Linked DNA regions of Arabidopsis thaliana. The protein of the gene in region 2 interacts with the protein of the main gene of each other region in a pairwise test. Each region holds a gene or a part of one and is shown on either strand. Other genes may lie near its edges.

Region 1 (6,122 bases), on a different chromosome or scaffold from region 2:
GGTCACGACTCACGTTGGATTTGCTGCCTATGCAAGATGGTTTGTGGGGACACACGATCAATGCATGCGGACAATTATTTTATTGAACGATTAGCTTTACTTGCCAATAAATACATTTGGTAAACGTTACAAGATCTGATAATTTTTGTTTTATGCAACTCTAGTTAGGTTACGCTGAATGTATTTTCAAAGTTTGTAGTATATATTTATTATTTAATCCAATTTTGTTCAGGCCTAAAAAAAATTACGATCATGCATGCATGTTTGGATGAGCCATCCACATATGTAAGATTTTACGACCAAAGTTTCATTGTCAAATCAGAATTTTTATCAAATCATTCTGAAGTATGTTATTTAAATATTCAAAAGATGACAAAGAAGATTATGGAACAAGTATAAATGGAAAATAATATTTGGATGATTGGAGCAACATGGTTACGGAACGTGACAATTGGAGAAGAATACGGATCGAAATTGGAACAATGATCACACCGAAAGGTTCTTTAAATTTCTCCAAAATTAAATTTCTTTCGTATACTTGAATGTTTTCTTAAGTCAAACATTTGATTACTCACATTTTTCAAGTTCATGCATTTAAATTAACGTGCTAATGGCGAGACTAAGAAAGATAAGATTTTTAACTACTCGAATATACTTTTCCGGTAATTACTTAATTAATATTCAAGGTCAATTGGAGGATCATGATGCCGAATGAGTACTAATTGCATTCATGTTCAAGGGATCGAAGTTGATTTGTGACTCAACCCTTTGCTTAAACCTAGAAGAGTGGTGCTATATGAAAATTTGAGTATGTGCTATAGGATAAGCTTTTAGCCCAAGTTATGTATGTTTTTAAAAAACATTTCGTTGCTTTCTTTAACTAGAAAATATATGTATATTATAATATATCTAGTATACCAACCAATCCCAAGTAAAGTAAAGCTTATTGAAACTAAACCAAATCAACTTATGAATCAACATATTTTTTTCTAATATAATGTAACTTCAAACGAAACAAAAAACAATCAGAATTTATTTTAAATTAATTGTTTAGATAAAAATACAATGAAAAGAGTATTATTTAATTGTTCGGATAGTAATAATACTAGTGATTATTCATTTCTCGGCTTAGTTTTGAAAACTGATCAAAACCAAACCAGAAAAAAACTATAAAACCGTATGAAATACTGAAAATCCCAATAGGTATGTACATAATGATGTATGATATATCTGATCAAGTATAAGGATTCGAGTATGCGACCATATAGTCATATACCAATCATCAAACTATATATAGATTTTCAAATATTATTTATTTTACAGACTCATAATTATGTTGTCTATGGCTGATCACATGCATTGCAAGATCTCAAAAATATCATGTATAAATTCACGTAACACATTTATTACGCATGCATATATGCTTTGCCGCATTTATGTAGAAGGACATCATGTTGAGTTCATGTTTCTCTTTGATTGTTACGTATTTTGTCTAAATACTGACCAAATATTAGTTGTTTCGTTACGTAATTATGTTAGTTGAGGTTGGAGACTGATTTTCAGAAGCAATTTACACCTTAATTAGTAAATATCATTAACCGCAGTAACATACTGATATTTACTGGCACTGGTCCTTCAATCTTCTAATTATAGTTAAACTAAATTTGAAAATTTGATCATGTCATAAGAGCAAGAAAAAAAATTCGTGAATAATTCTTTCATTTTTATGGGCTTTTAGTATTTTAGAAGATAGAGTGACCATTTTATTTAATGTAGTCGTTGACATTTACACACTATATTAAAACTCGATATAGCCATGTGATCATGATGGATATAAACTCAAATCGATTTGTTAATTGAGAAGCCAATCTAATTTAATTATTCAACATAAAAAATAAACAGTCTATTTTTGTGTCTTCAGATGGCAATTGTTATTAGTTTTCATCGAATTGATCCAGCCATCTACATACATAACATAAAGGCGCGGGGAAATTAAACATACATCATATTTGTAGACTTGTAGTTGTGAATTTTGAAAAAGTAATACAAAGTATGTAATGGAAAAAATGTATCGTTTCTAGACTTGGAAAACGTTGGGCTTTGAACCAGAAGAAGGAAACATATTGGGTTTCTGAAAGGTAAACGAGACCTACAAATACAGTCCTTCATAAATAATGGGCCCATAACATCCATACTTGTGTGAGACAGACGTTTGTTATGTCTTCAATCATGAACATATAATTCCTTTTTTTCATTTTTTTCAGCAAGAACAAATAATTCTTAATCAACTTACAACTTTAAATTTTTTATGCTTGTTATATGATATTATGTTAAGGCATGGCTCAATGTTTTTAGATTTTCAACCAAGGCCTATATTGAGAATTTGAGAGCTTATAACTTTTTCTTTTCTTTTCAACTGTACGATAAATTAAAATAATGTATAGAGAGGTTTGCAGGAGCCATGCCTTGCATATATTCCCGCCCAATTATCCTGCAGAATTTTCTCCACGTGACATTACAGTAAATTCCAACAGTGCATGATAGATAATTTTTGTTTCTAAGTTTCTTCTCCACTTGATTGATATATTCTGCTGTTTTATTTACCGCATTATACATCAGATTCACCTTCTTTACCGAAGTTTGATTACAAATTTACAAAGTATCGTGAAATCGTCATGGGTAATAAAATCATGACACCAACATACTAAACTTGAAATCTTAAAAAGCATAAACAGAAAAAATAATATTATTATCTGAATCAATTGATTAAGTTCAAAAGAATATCAAACTGTTTATGTAAAGAGACAAAAAAAATATTTTCTGATTCAGTGAATTAAGTTGATAAGGAAACTGATCAATAAGCATTTGCATATAGATAACGTGGAAACTGAGAGTACAACTTTGTTTTGCAATAATTCATGCATGCGTCGCTTTATCGACTAATATTCGTACATAACAAGTTGTACTCACACAAGTCATAAGTACATTATCATTAAATAACATAGACTATGGAATCAAGTAACATTTAGGTCACTTATATTTTAATGCACCGCATCTAACGCGATTAGTCATTAATACACGGATCGTCCGATCTAAAATAAAATTTGTTTTTATTTTATATATACAGTATATAACCTTTCTCATTATTTCTTCTTAAATCATTACAATCATCACAAAGCCATCGCAAATTAGAAGAGATTTAAGATGGCCAACAACATCTCCTTTCCTTGCGCCATCATATTTTTCTCTATCAATATTTTCTTCTTAATCAAGTCATCACACGCAATGCCATCGTTTAACGTCCAAAGGTACGGAGCTAGAGGTGATGGGAGAGCAGATGCGACCAAGTCCTTTTTGACAGCTTGGTCATTAGCCTGCGGCTCACGGGCTCGAGCCATGGTCTACGTTCCCCGTGGAACATATTTGGTCAAAAACCTAGTCTTTTGGGGTCCTTGCAAGAACATTATAACTTTCAAAAACGATGGAACACTCGTGGCTCCAGCGAACTACTGGGATATAGGTAATTCCGGTTATTGGATTCTTTTCGCTAAAGTAAACCGGATCTCGGTTTACGGTGGCACCATTGATGCTAGAGGAGCTGGTTATTGGTCTTGTAGAAAGAAAGGTAGTCATTGTCCTCAAGGTGCAAGGGTATGTTTACATCAAAACTAGCGGATTTGATTTGTTCATTTATTAGCTAGTTATATTAATTTGATTTAATTATAATTGGACATGGCTTCTTTTGCAGTCTATATCGTTCAGCTGGTGCAATAACGTTCTACTAAGTGGTCTATCGTCGTTTAATAGCCAGAATATGCACGTCACGGTTCATCATTCTTCTAATGTTCGGATTGAAAACGTAAGAATTAGGGCTCCAAGTGGAAGCCCTAACACCGATGGTATCCACGTACAGTCTTCTTCTGGAGTCACCATTAGTGGCGGAACCATTGCGACCGGTGATGACTGCATTGCACTTAGTCAAGGATCTAGGAACATTTGGATCGAACGTGTCAATTGTGGACCGGGACATGGAATCAGGTAACTAGGAATTCAACAATAATCAACTTAAATGCGATGGTTGAGTGCCAATTAAAGCAATTTTGCTTGTAAATGTGATGCAGCATTGGGAGTCTTGGGGATTACGCTAATGAGGAAGGTGTGCAAAATGTAACCGTTACGAGCTCTGTTTTCACCAAGACGCAGAACGGAGTAAGAATAAAGACATGGGCTAGGCCTAGCAGAGGGTTTGTGAATAATGTGGTATTTCGAAATTTGATAATGAATAATGTTGAAAATCCGGTGATAATCGATCAAAACTATTGTCCTAATGGAAAAGGTTGTCCTCGCCAGGTATATAATCTAGTCAATTTAGCTTAACTCAAATCCTAAATCTAGTCTTTATTTAATGGAATCTTATTATGATTGATCAAACAGAGCTCTGGAGTGAAGATAAGTGGAGTGACTTTTGCAAACATAAAGGGGACATCAACAACACCAATAGCAATGAAGTTGGATTGTAGTGGAAGCAATCATTGCACAGGGCTTAGGTTACAAGACATTAAGCTTACTTACATGAGAAGATCATCAGCTTCTTATTGTAGGAACGCCCATGGACGAGCCTCTGGAGTTATGGTTCCAAGGAATTGTATGTGAAATCATGATCCATGATTATTTATTTGGGTTTATATAGTACATGTAAACCCTAAAATTGTTGGATGTAGATATATTCTAAAGTGATATTTGTTTGATGTTTTTATAACCTTAGATTCATCCGAATTTGAATGTGGTGAAACTCTTTGGTGTGAATGAAATTGAAAAAAAGGAAAAAGAGAGAAGAAATCAATTTGATTGTTCGCTTATCAATGTGCTTGTGCCATATCTGCTTTGCTTGTGAAAATCAATTTCGTAACGGTAATAGGTCATATAATAACAAGGGATAATAAAATAGTAAATTTGATCCCAAAAAAAGTAACATCCTTTTTCTTTTTTTTTGATAAAAGGTTAGGGTTAACAAAAGTTCCATCTGACAGATCCAATTGACTCATTTTTATTTTATTTGATGGTTAATATATTGGCATCACAAAAAAAATAAAAAAAATACAATGTTGAATCTTAACTTCTCTCGATTCAATGATTTTTGTATCACAAGGGAAAAAATAAACTATGACCATAAAAAATAATAAACTGATAGTGAACCTGTAATGAGAGTAATACAAGTATTGTATGTTTCATATCGTGTCGTGTGAATGGTGTGGAAAAAAAAAACAAAAAAACAATCGTGTGAATGGTTTGGATGACGTGTCTATATAAAATTGGTTGAGGCTTTTAGGTTGACTATGTAGCACCGCAAGATTCGGAGGACGGAGGGTCTCTTTACTATTTAACCGCTGAGATCTGATCTCTTCCGTTCCGTTATCACATGGCACGTGCCAATTACCATAACATAAGGCTCATATTATGATGAAATATATGTTTTTCTAATTTAATTGGTTTTGTTTTTTTATAAAAATTATTATCCAAGATGGAACAAATGAAATCACTTTTGTTTGAGATCACGTAATAACCTTACAAAAGTTATCCTTCTTACTTGCTCTGTTATCCCCCTTAATTCTCTGTGCATCTTTTGAAAATACCTTCGGTCTAAAGCCAACATGTTCGAAACTTTGAATATTGAAATTAATTACAACAAAATAACTAAACTTATTGATTTGGTTCGCTGCAGAAGATAACCATTAATAATTAAGAATTGAGACCAACCGTCATTGATGACGTATATTAATATTTAATCTTCCACTTTATAACTTTTTATAGGCATCGTTTAAGTTTAACTAAAAGCCAATACAAGAACAAATCGAACTATTGATATCTCTAACGGTGAAATGACTGGATTTCGGTGATGATTAAATTTGGATGAAATGACACTAGCGACATTGTGGAAAATGTTCCTTTGATCAAAGGTTCCCTCGCGATATTGGACACTCACCCTACATTAGATTCATCTGCAACACATTCCTTTGAAATGTCGTCGTTCTTCACCATTATATGCGCTAATTAAATCGGTTTCTTTCTGATGAGCAAGAACCTGATGATACTAAACCTTAGTTCTTCTGCAACTAACCTAA
Region 2 (9,475 bases):
AACTTTGGAAACCAAATCTCAGAGCCCTTATGGAACATGATATGAATGAAGTTAGCGTTGGCAGGAAGACCAAAGCTGAAGTTCTTGAAACATGTTTGCAGCAAATGAAAGCTTGTTTCTTAGATGTGAGTCAGCTGTTTTTTATTAGACTTTTTGTCTTCTCTCTGTGGCCAAATCTGTTATTGCTGAAGGTGCTGCTAACACAGTAGGCTGGAACTGAATGCCGTGTTTTTCTAATTGTCATTCACAAATTTAATTCTCGCAGGCAAGAGTAAAAAAATCAAAGCTCCTAGAAGCAATGACAATTTTCTTTGAAAGGTAGTCTCGTTACTTTGTTCAGTACTGTGTAGCTGAAGTCTATTTCTTCGTAATATAATATGATACTGCATGTGCAGATCTAATAACACTGATGAGAGTGAAAGTCAGACAGCTGGTGAAGTTGTCCGACGATGCAATCTCTGCAATGAATCAGATATGGCACTCAGGAAGAACCGGGTATCATATATTCTGTCTGAACAAAATTTTCTCTGTTCTCCCTATTGTTAATGGGAACCACAGGTTAAACGTTCTATTCCCTTTCTTTGCAGGATGGCAATTTCATGGTTGGGTGCATGAATTATCCTCAGGTCAGAATTTCACCGCTCTTTACATACCATATATATTGTTGGAAATTTAAACTTTTTGCTCTCTGTATTGTAACCTTATTTCTGAAGATTATGATCTAATCATTTGACATTTCAGTATTTCTTCGTTTATGCTTCCTTGCTTACATCTATTATATTAATTTCACACATTTTCCTTTCTCTAGTGTCGGAATGCAGTCTGGCTTCCTGGACCGACATTGGAAGCATCTGTCACTACTAATGTTTGTCAATCCTGTGGTCCAGGTATAGCCACAGATTCTCCAGTATAACAGTGAATTGAATTTCAAAAACTAAATTACACTTGGATGACACAGCGTGTACATGTGTCTTTCTGTCTTTATTATTAAATGGTGCCTTTCTCTTTCTGTAGGCCCGGTCTACAAGATACTTTTCAAGTTCCGTCAAATTGGAATTCCACCAGGCTTTGATGTTAATCACTTAGGTAAAAAAAATTGCAGCCAATTTGTTTTCTTGTTTACCAGGCTTTGATTTTTTTACCAGGCTTTGATTTTAATGTCATCACAGCCACCGTGCCAATTTCATCGTGACTTCTTCTAATATGTCCTATGGTAATGTTGTGATCAGGTTGCGTGGGTGGCTGTGATGACATTCTTAAACAGTTGATAGACATCTGTGGAACTGGATCCCGTTCTCAAGGTTAGTGCTTTGTTGTTACGCAATACATATACCTTTGTATTAGACATCATACAATCTTTCTTTCATCATCTTCTGTCCTAAATGAGAATGCAAGAACTTTAGTATAGTGTCTTGCGAATAGAGAACATTTAGGCTAAAAAGAATCAATGATTTGTTCTTGCAGCAAGGAGAACTCCAGGTACTGCACCGTCAAACAATATCCAAGGAAGCAACACAAGACAGAGTAATGTCTGCATACATTGTCAGCAACGAGGACATGCTTCCACGAATTGTCCCTCACGGGTTCCAGCATCTCGAAATTCTCGTCCTACTGCAACAAATCCGAGAAACGGTACTGATCCTTGTATAATAGTTTAGCAAACAAAGATCATCGATTAGCTTTTGCTAGTATGTACTATATACTAGTCAAAATTCAAGCAAATTGTCCAGACCAAGTCTTCCTTATTGACATGTAATTTATATTCTAGTATTGTTGGTTATAATGCAGATGAAAGTACAGTATCATGTAACACTTGTGGATCACAATGTGTTCTTCGTACAGCCAACACAGAAGCTAACAGGGGAAGACAATTCTTCTCATGTCCAACACAAGGCTGCAGTTTCTTTGCGTAAGAGTCTGGTTTTACCCCAATTTCTTCGCATAATCCATTTTTTTTTCCTTTTACATCACTCAACACATCAGTTTTTTGTTTGCACTGCTTGTAAACAGATGGGAAGATAGCATAAACAACAGTAGTGGGAATGCAACAACAGGGTCTAATAGCGGCGGGAGCGGTAGACGTGGCAGCCGTGGTCGTGGCCGTGGAGGTAGAGGCGGCCAAAGCAGTGGAGGACGACGCGGCTCTGGAACAAGCTTTGTCTCTGCAACTGGAGAGCCAGTGAGTGGTATAAGGTGCTTCTCATGTGGCGATCCTTCACATTTTGCTAACGCTTGTCCTAATCGTAATAACTCTAACGGTAACTATTTCTAAGTCTACTTACTACGAACTTTGACTATGTATGTAGCATGATTAATTAGTGCTACTAACTTAATTTGGGTTTTTGTATTTTATTTTATTTTATTTTATGACCACTTTTTCTCTGGAATTCATCCTAATTTGCGTAGATCACTGTTAGCTGGATATTTTAAATATAATATTTCACGTGCTATTCTGAATCACTGAATAGTTTCCACCTATTTTATTTATAAATCTTGAATAGTCGTTTTTAATTTTTAGTTATGTTCTTAGTGAGCTAATGTGGATCCATATTTCATCATTTTTTTTGTATTGTCTCATAATTCATAATTCATACATCAACTATATCACTATGTATATGCCATTGATCTTGAGTCTAGACATGGTCAAGTAATAGATATTAACAAAATGCTTAAGCTACAAAGTTTAGTCCTCCGAATTTGTTTTTAGAGATGGTCAAGTAATAGATATTAACAACTGTTAATAACACAAACCACAGTCGTTTTGCTCTGTAAGAAAACGACACAACAACCGGAATAAACGCCGTTTTGTTGTTTAAAAACGGCACACCAATTTTCAGTCCATTTTGAACATAAAAGATTTAAAATTCTCAAATCGAAATTGAGATAACAGAGGATCCGGCGAGCTTCTCCGGCGTAGGATTCGGGTCATTTTCTTCGGCAACTATGAAAGGGAAAAAAAGAGAGAGAGAGGTGATTACTGATTAGGCCGTCTCCTGTGGAACAAGAACGCGTTTCTTCTTACATTCCTCATCGAAGGAGTTGTTGTAGCCACTTGAGGTACTTTTCATACTAATCTTGGAATTTGTATAGCTTGGTTCGGTATATTGAACAGTCAATTAGGTATCTTGCTGTGAATGATCAAGTGGGTACTTATCATTGCCTCTTCTTAGTAGTCTCATTACAAGACTGAAGTTTGGTCTCAAAATTGACAAGCTTCTCGAAGCATTTGTCCTTGGACTATAACTTATAGTCGAGCTTGTTGTCCCTTCTCCAGTTGTTATCTTGGTTGTCGTCTGTATATAGAAGATTAAAACAACTGTTTTGCTTGGAGTATAATTGATACTTTACAATAGAATAATAATGCACGAAATTGAGGTCGTGAGAGAATGAGGAAAGCCAAGTTCTCATGCCATGTCGGCCATCTCTATCTTGTTGATTTGAGTACTTAGAGTCTATTATAGCTTCAAAGTTACAAAAAGGACCATCATTTTTAAGCCTTGTAGTTCTCACTTTGACTAATTCATGGCTTACTTTATTTGTTGCTTCAAAGACAAAACGAATATTGAGTTTCTTTTTTACTTGAAATAAACAAAAGCAAAGCTGATAGGCTTCTGAAACTAATATTAAAAGACAGGCCAGTACTAATAGAAGACTTTTTTAATGAACAAATTTCAAACTTCAAAGCTTTCAATGATCAAAAAACTAATCATAGCTTGACCATTTCCTTTTTATATTGTTTTCCTGGAAAGAAGAAAAAAAGGTCTGCACCTCTTCTATTCTCTCTTTTTCCTTTCCTGAAACCAGTTTCAAAGGTTGTTTTCTTGCCTAGAATTTTCATAGCTATGTGTCTTGGATCCAGATCCATAGTTTAGTAGGGCCTGTATTCTTCTTTCAAATATGCTTGTTATGCTACATGATTTGAGTTTTTTTGGATGGTTTTATGGTATGTAGTCTTTAAGAGATGTACAAAGTGAGGTTTTTGCAGACATGATTACATCTTGTTTGATGTCTTCTAATGAAGATTTAAGGGCTTCTGTGTATGCATGAATGGTAAAGGAAATGATGAAGCTTGCTGTTTTTTTCATATCTCTTCTTCTTATCCTTCTGATCTCTGAGACAACAGGGTTGAACTTAGAAGGTCAATATCTTCTTGAAATCAAGAGCAAGTTTGTGGATGCTAAGCAGAATTTGAGAAACTGGAATTCAAATGATTCTGTACCTTGTGGATGGACTGGCGTGATGTGCAGCAACTATTCGAGTGATCCAGAGGTTTTGTCCTTGAATCTGTCTTCGATGGTTCTCTCGGGTAAGCTATCACCAAGCATAGGTGGATTGGTTCATCTGAAGCAGCTGGATCTGTCATATAATGGGTTGTCAGGGAAAATTCCTAAGGAAATTGGCAACTGTTCAAGCTTGGAGATTCTGAAACTAAACAATAACCAGTTTGATGGTGAGATACCTGTGGAAATAGGTAAGCTTGTGTCTTTGGAGAATCTGATCATATACAACAACAGAATCTCAGGGTCTCTCCCTGTGGAGATTGGGAACCTTTTGTCTCTCTCTCAACTGGTGACTTACAGTAACAACATCAGTGGACAATTGCCCCGTTCCATCGGCAACCTCAAGAGACTGACAAGCTTCCGAGCCGGTCAGAACATGATCTCTGGAAGTTTGCCTTCTGAGATTGGTGGATGTGAGAGCTTGGTCATGCTTGGTCTTGCACAGAACCAGTTGAGTGGTGAATTACCAAAAGAGATTGGAATGCTCAAGAAACTTTCACAGGTGATTCTTTGGGAAAATGAGTTCTCAGGGTTTATCCCCAGGGAGATTAGCAACTGCACAAGTTTAGAAACCCTTGCTCTCTACAAGAACCAGCTTGTCGGGCCAATCCCGAAAGAGCTCGGGGACCTTCAGTCGCTGGAGTTTCTCTACCTTTACAGAAACGGGTTGAATGGAACGATTCCAAGAGAGATTGGGAATCTCTCATATGCAATTGAGATAGATTTCTCGGAAAACGCTTTGACCGGAGAGATACCTTTGGAGTTAGGGAACATAGAGGGGCTTGAGCTTCTTTATCTTTTTGAGAACCAACTCACAGGTACCATCCCTGTGGAGCTTTCTACTTTGAAGAATCTATCAAAGCTTGATCTCTCCATCAATGCTTTAACGGGTCCTATTCCCCTGGGATTTCAGTATCTAAGAGGACTCTTCATGCTGCAGCTGTTTCAGAACTCCCTTAGCGGGACCATACCTCCAAAACTTGGCTGGTATAGCGATCTCTGGGTTCTTGATATGTCCGATAACCATCTCAGTGGAAGAATTCCAAGCTACCTCTGCCTTCACTCCAATATGATCATCTTGAACTTGGGTACAAACAACCTCTCTGGCAACATTCCTACTGGAATCACCACTTGCAAAACTCTGGTCCAACTTCGTCTAGCCAGAAACAACCTCGTTGGTCGGTTCCCATCCAACCTGTGTAAACAGGTTAATGTCACAGCCATCGAGTTGGGACAGAACAGATTCCGTGGTTCCATCCCTAGGGAGGTCGGGAACTGCAGTGCCCTACAAAGGCTGCAGCTAGCAGACAATGGCTTCACGGGGGAGCTACCTAGAGAGATTGGCATGCTTTCACAGCTTGGGACCTTGAATATCTCATCCAATAAGCTTACTGGAGAGGTCCCTTCTGAAATCTTCAACTGCAAGATGCTTCAGCGACTAGACATGTGTTGCAACAATTTCTCTGGAACCTTACCAAGTGAGGTAGGTTCCCTCTACCAGCTTGAGCTTCTGAAGCTCTCAAACAATAATCTTTCGGGTACAATACCTGTGGCTCTAGGGAACTTATCTCGCTTGACCGAACTACAAATGGGTGGAAACTTGTTCAACGGTAGCATTCCACGGGAGTTGGGCAGTCTGACGGGTTTGCAAATAGCATTGAACCTCAGTTATAACAAGCTTACCGGAGAAATACCACCTGAGCTCAGTAATCTTGTTATGCTTGAGTTCCTGCTCCTCAACAACAACAATTTGTCTGGGGAAATACCAAGCTCTTTTGCTAATCTCTCCAGCTTGCTTGGTTACAACTTCTCATACAACAGCTTAACTGGTCCTATTCCACTTCTCCGTAACATATCCATGTCTAGCTTCATCGGTAATGAAGGGCTTTGCGGCCCGCCGCTCAACCAGTGTATCCAAACACAGCCTTTCGCGCCTTCTCAGTCAACCGGGAAGCCCGGAGGAATGCGTTCGAGTAAAATCATAGCCATTACTGCAGCTGTGATTGGCGGGGTCTCTCTCATGCTGATTGCTCTCATTGTCTACCTCATGAGACGCCCAGTGAGAACAGTCGCTTCTTCTGCTCAAGATGGCCAACCATCGGAAATGTCTTTGGACATATACTTCCCTCCAAAGGAAGGATTCACGTTCCAAGATTTAGTTGCAGCCACTGATAATTTCGACGAGAGCTTTGTAGTTGGGAGAGGAGCTTGTGGAACCGTCTACAAAGCGGTTCTTCCAGCCGGGTACACTCTAGCTGTCAAGAAGCTGGCATCAAACCATGAAGGCGGCAACAACAACAATGTGGATAATAGCTTTAGAGCAGAGATTCTAACTCTTGGGAATATCAGGCACCGTAACATCGTCAAGCTACATGGATTCTGCAATCACCAAGGATCAAATCTGCTTCTGTATGAGTACATGCCCAAGGGAAGCCTTGGAGAAATACTTCATGATCCTTCATGCAACTTGGATTGGTCTAAGAGATTTAAAATCGCTTTAGGTGCGGCTCAGGGTCTCGCCTATTTGCACCATGATTGCAAGCCGAGAATCTTCCACCGGGACATAAAATCAAACAATATACTGCTTGACGACAAGTTTGAAGCTCATGTGGGAGATTTTGGACTAGCAAAAGTGATTGACATGCCACATTCTAAATCCATGTCTGCTATTGCTGGCTCCTATGGCTACATTGCCCCAGGTAAAGTTTTTGCTTTTGTTTGTGCAATTAAGTATCCAATGAGGGAACTGAAATTAAACTGTTTTAACAACTTTGCAGAATATGCATACACCATGAAAGTGACAGAGAAGTCTGACATCTATAGCTACGGGGTGGTTCTACTGGAGCTGCTAACCGGAAAAGCCCCGGTTCAGCCAATAGATCAAGGAGGAGATGTGGTGAATTGGGTGAGGAGTTACATAAGAAGAGATGCATTGTCCTCAGGAGTTCTTGATGCTCGGTTAACGCTAGAAGACGAGAGAATTGTCTCTCATATGCTCACTGTGTTAAAGATTGCACTTCTTTGCACAAGTGTGTCTCCAGTCGCGAGGCCATCGATGCGACAAGTTGTTCTCATGCTTATTGAGTCTGAGAGATCGGAAGGAGAACAAGAACATTTGGATACAGAAGAATTGACACAAACAACTACCCCATGACACAATACACATTCTTGTTGTATCTTCTTCTTTTTTCACACGAGATTATTCTTCTATGTAACCATGGCGAATAATTATTGTAAAGTCTATACGCACGCAGCTATATCAAAAGATATAAGCAGTATCTATATCTACAAGTTACCGTTAGGTTTAATTAATTAGTGTTAATCCAATCATTATCCATGGGACCCAAACGGTAATTACCGTTGTCTTTTTAGTATGAACAGGTAAATAGTAGTACTCTCTAACATTGGATATTGTTTTTGGTCATTGGATCATTTAATAGATCATAATTTAATACTATGGAAGTATCCATGTTATAATCAACTTGATTTTTCATAGTGATTAGGTCTATAAATTATTGTTAATTTAATGAAGACACCAATAATAATACGGTCACTTTTGCTCTGGAAATCATAATTAGCGTAGATCACGGTTAGCTGGATTTGTTATAAATATAATATTTCACGTGCTATTCTGAATCGTGCCCACCAGATTATATATCTAATCTCTTCTAGTTTTTAATTTTAGCTATGTGGTAGTGAGTTAATGTGGATCTGTTTTTCTCAATATTAATTTTGTTAAATAATTAGTCCTCTTAGTCTTCACTTCTCTAGGGATATGATTTTAAATCAAACGAAAAGATTCGAGTCATACTAAGACTTATTCGTACGCCATGAAAGTTTGAAAGGTCTTTTTTTCCTTTTCTTCAAACTGAAAATTCAAAATAAAGGATAGGATATGAATAATCGAGAAGTTCATCTTTAAGTAAATGTGATTAATATCTTAGTTATAATATCATAATGCCAAACATTATCTTGCGTGTATTAACAATATCATTATGGTTAGAATTGAGATTCGTTAACAATACTCGAATCACTATGAGATCTTTAGCGATAGGATGATATGTGTATTCCTAACTCGATCATGAACTTTAATATGTGCTAGAAACATCTAATGTAGTTTCTGTTTTTTCTTTGTCGTTCCCAAATTCCAATGTAAATAAGGTATCTAATTACCTCATAAGATAATTCCTAGTAGTCTAATTTAGAATACTTCTTTAACAAAAAAAACATCCAAATATATACTTTTCACAATTTCTACTGAATGTAGTGTGTTGGTAAGTTATGTAACAAATTATTGAGGAAAACCATCAAAACAACTGTAAATTAAAACCACCTACAATATAAGAAGAAACATTAGGTCTCATCTTTTATTTTGTTAAAACATTAGGTCTCTTCACCGACGGATCTATTTGTGTCCTCTACTTTTAGCCATTCTTTAAGAAAAAAGAAATGAAAAAAAATGAGGGAATTGGCTACCCTTTATTGAAAATGAAACATGCATGATTTGTTTTCGTTAGAGATGAGAAATATAATGACATAATAAATAAGAATCCAAAGTGAAGAAGAAGTTGGAAAACAAAAAAAAAAAAAAAAGAGAGAAAAAGATTCTTTTGTCCATTAAAAGAGAATGAATGATAACGATGTCCATTATTATTCTCCGTCCTCGTGCTTAATTTAATTATCTTCCCCTCTTTAATTAAAACTAATTAACTATTAGAGAACAATAAATAATTAAATAGTATAGTAAGAATCGGATCGTAAGGTAAATCAACGGCTGAGATTCATTCAAACCAGAGGACACAAAACATCTCTTCTCTCTCTCCCACTTTTTCTCCCGGAGACAGTTAACGTGATTCGCCCTTTTCTCTTTGCCCAAGAGCTATACGACAATACCTCCACCACACCCCACACACACACACGAGAGACAGAGAGAGAGAGAGAGGAAATTTGCTACTGAGAGATACATTCAGTGAGTGTGTGTCTGTCACCGTGGAGGAGAAACGGAAGGAGGATAGATGAAACCGACCGGAGAAGGAGGAGGGGAAGTCGCCGGAGCGGTGGCGGAAGGTTCGGCGTTGTTAATTGTAGGAGTAAAGCCAGATGAATGGAGTAGAGAGGTTCTTACATGGTCTTTGGTGAATGTAGCGCGTCCTGGAGATCGAATCGTTGCTCTTCATGTTCTCGATTATTCTCTA

Evidence for each region.
Region 1: the proteins of AT5G63930 (region 2) and AT2G43880 interact in a protein complementation assay, tested with the Arabidopsis thaliana proteins (one large-scale study listed by BioGRID).

What each region holds. Positions count from the first base shown.
Region 1 is NC_003071.7:18,169,830-18,175,951, forward strand, and holds AT2G43880 (Pectin lyase-like superfamily protein), read left to right. Parts: upstream 1-3,059; 5' UTR 3,060-3,204; coding exon 3,205-3,651; intron 3,652-3,748; coding exon 3,749-4,038; intron 4,039-4,121; coding exon 4,122-4,350; coding exon of another isoform or gene 4,351-4,377; exon of another isoform or gene 4,378-4,434; coding exon 4,435-4,653; 3' UTR 4,654-4,845; downstream 4,846-6,122.
Region 2 is NC_003076.8:25,578,959-25,588,433, forward strand, and holds AT5G63930 (Leucine-rich repeat protein kinase family protein), read left to right. Parts: upstream 1-2,737; 5' UTR 2,738-4,047; coding exon 4,048-6,979; intron 6,980-7,057; coding exon 7,058-7,434; 3' UTR 7,435-7,662; downstream 7,663-9,475. Other genes in the region: TOP3A (topoisomerase 3alpha), read left to right, coding at 1-125, 266-318, 396-495, 588-626, 809-887, 1,015-1,086, 1,230-1,301, 1,465-1,632 and 2 more; AT5G63940 (kinase with adenine nucleotide alpha hydrolases-like domain-containing protein), read left to right, coding at 9,296-9,475.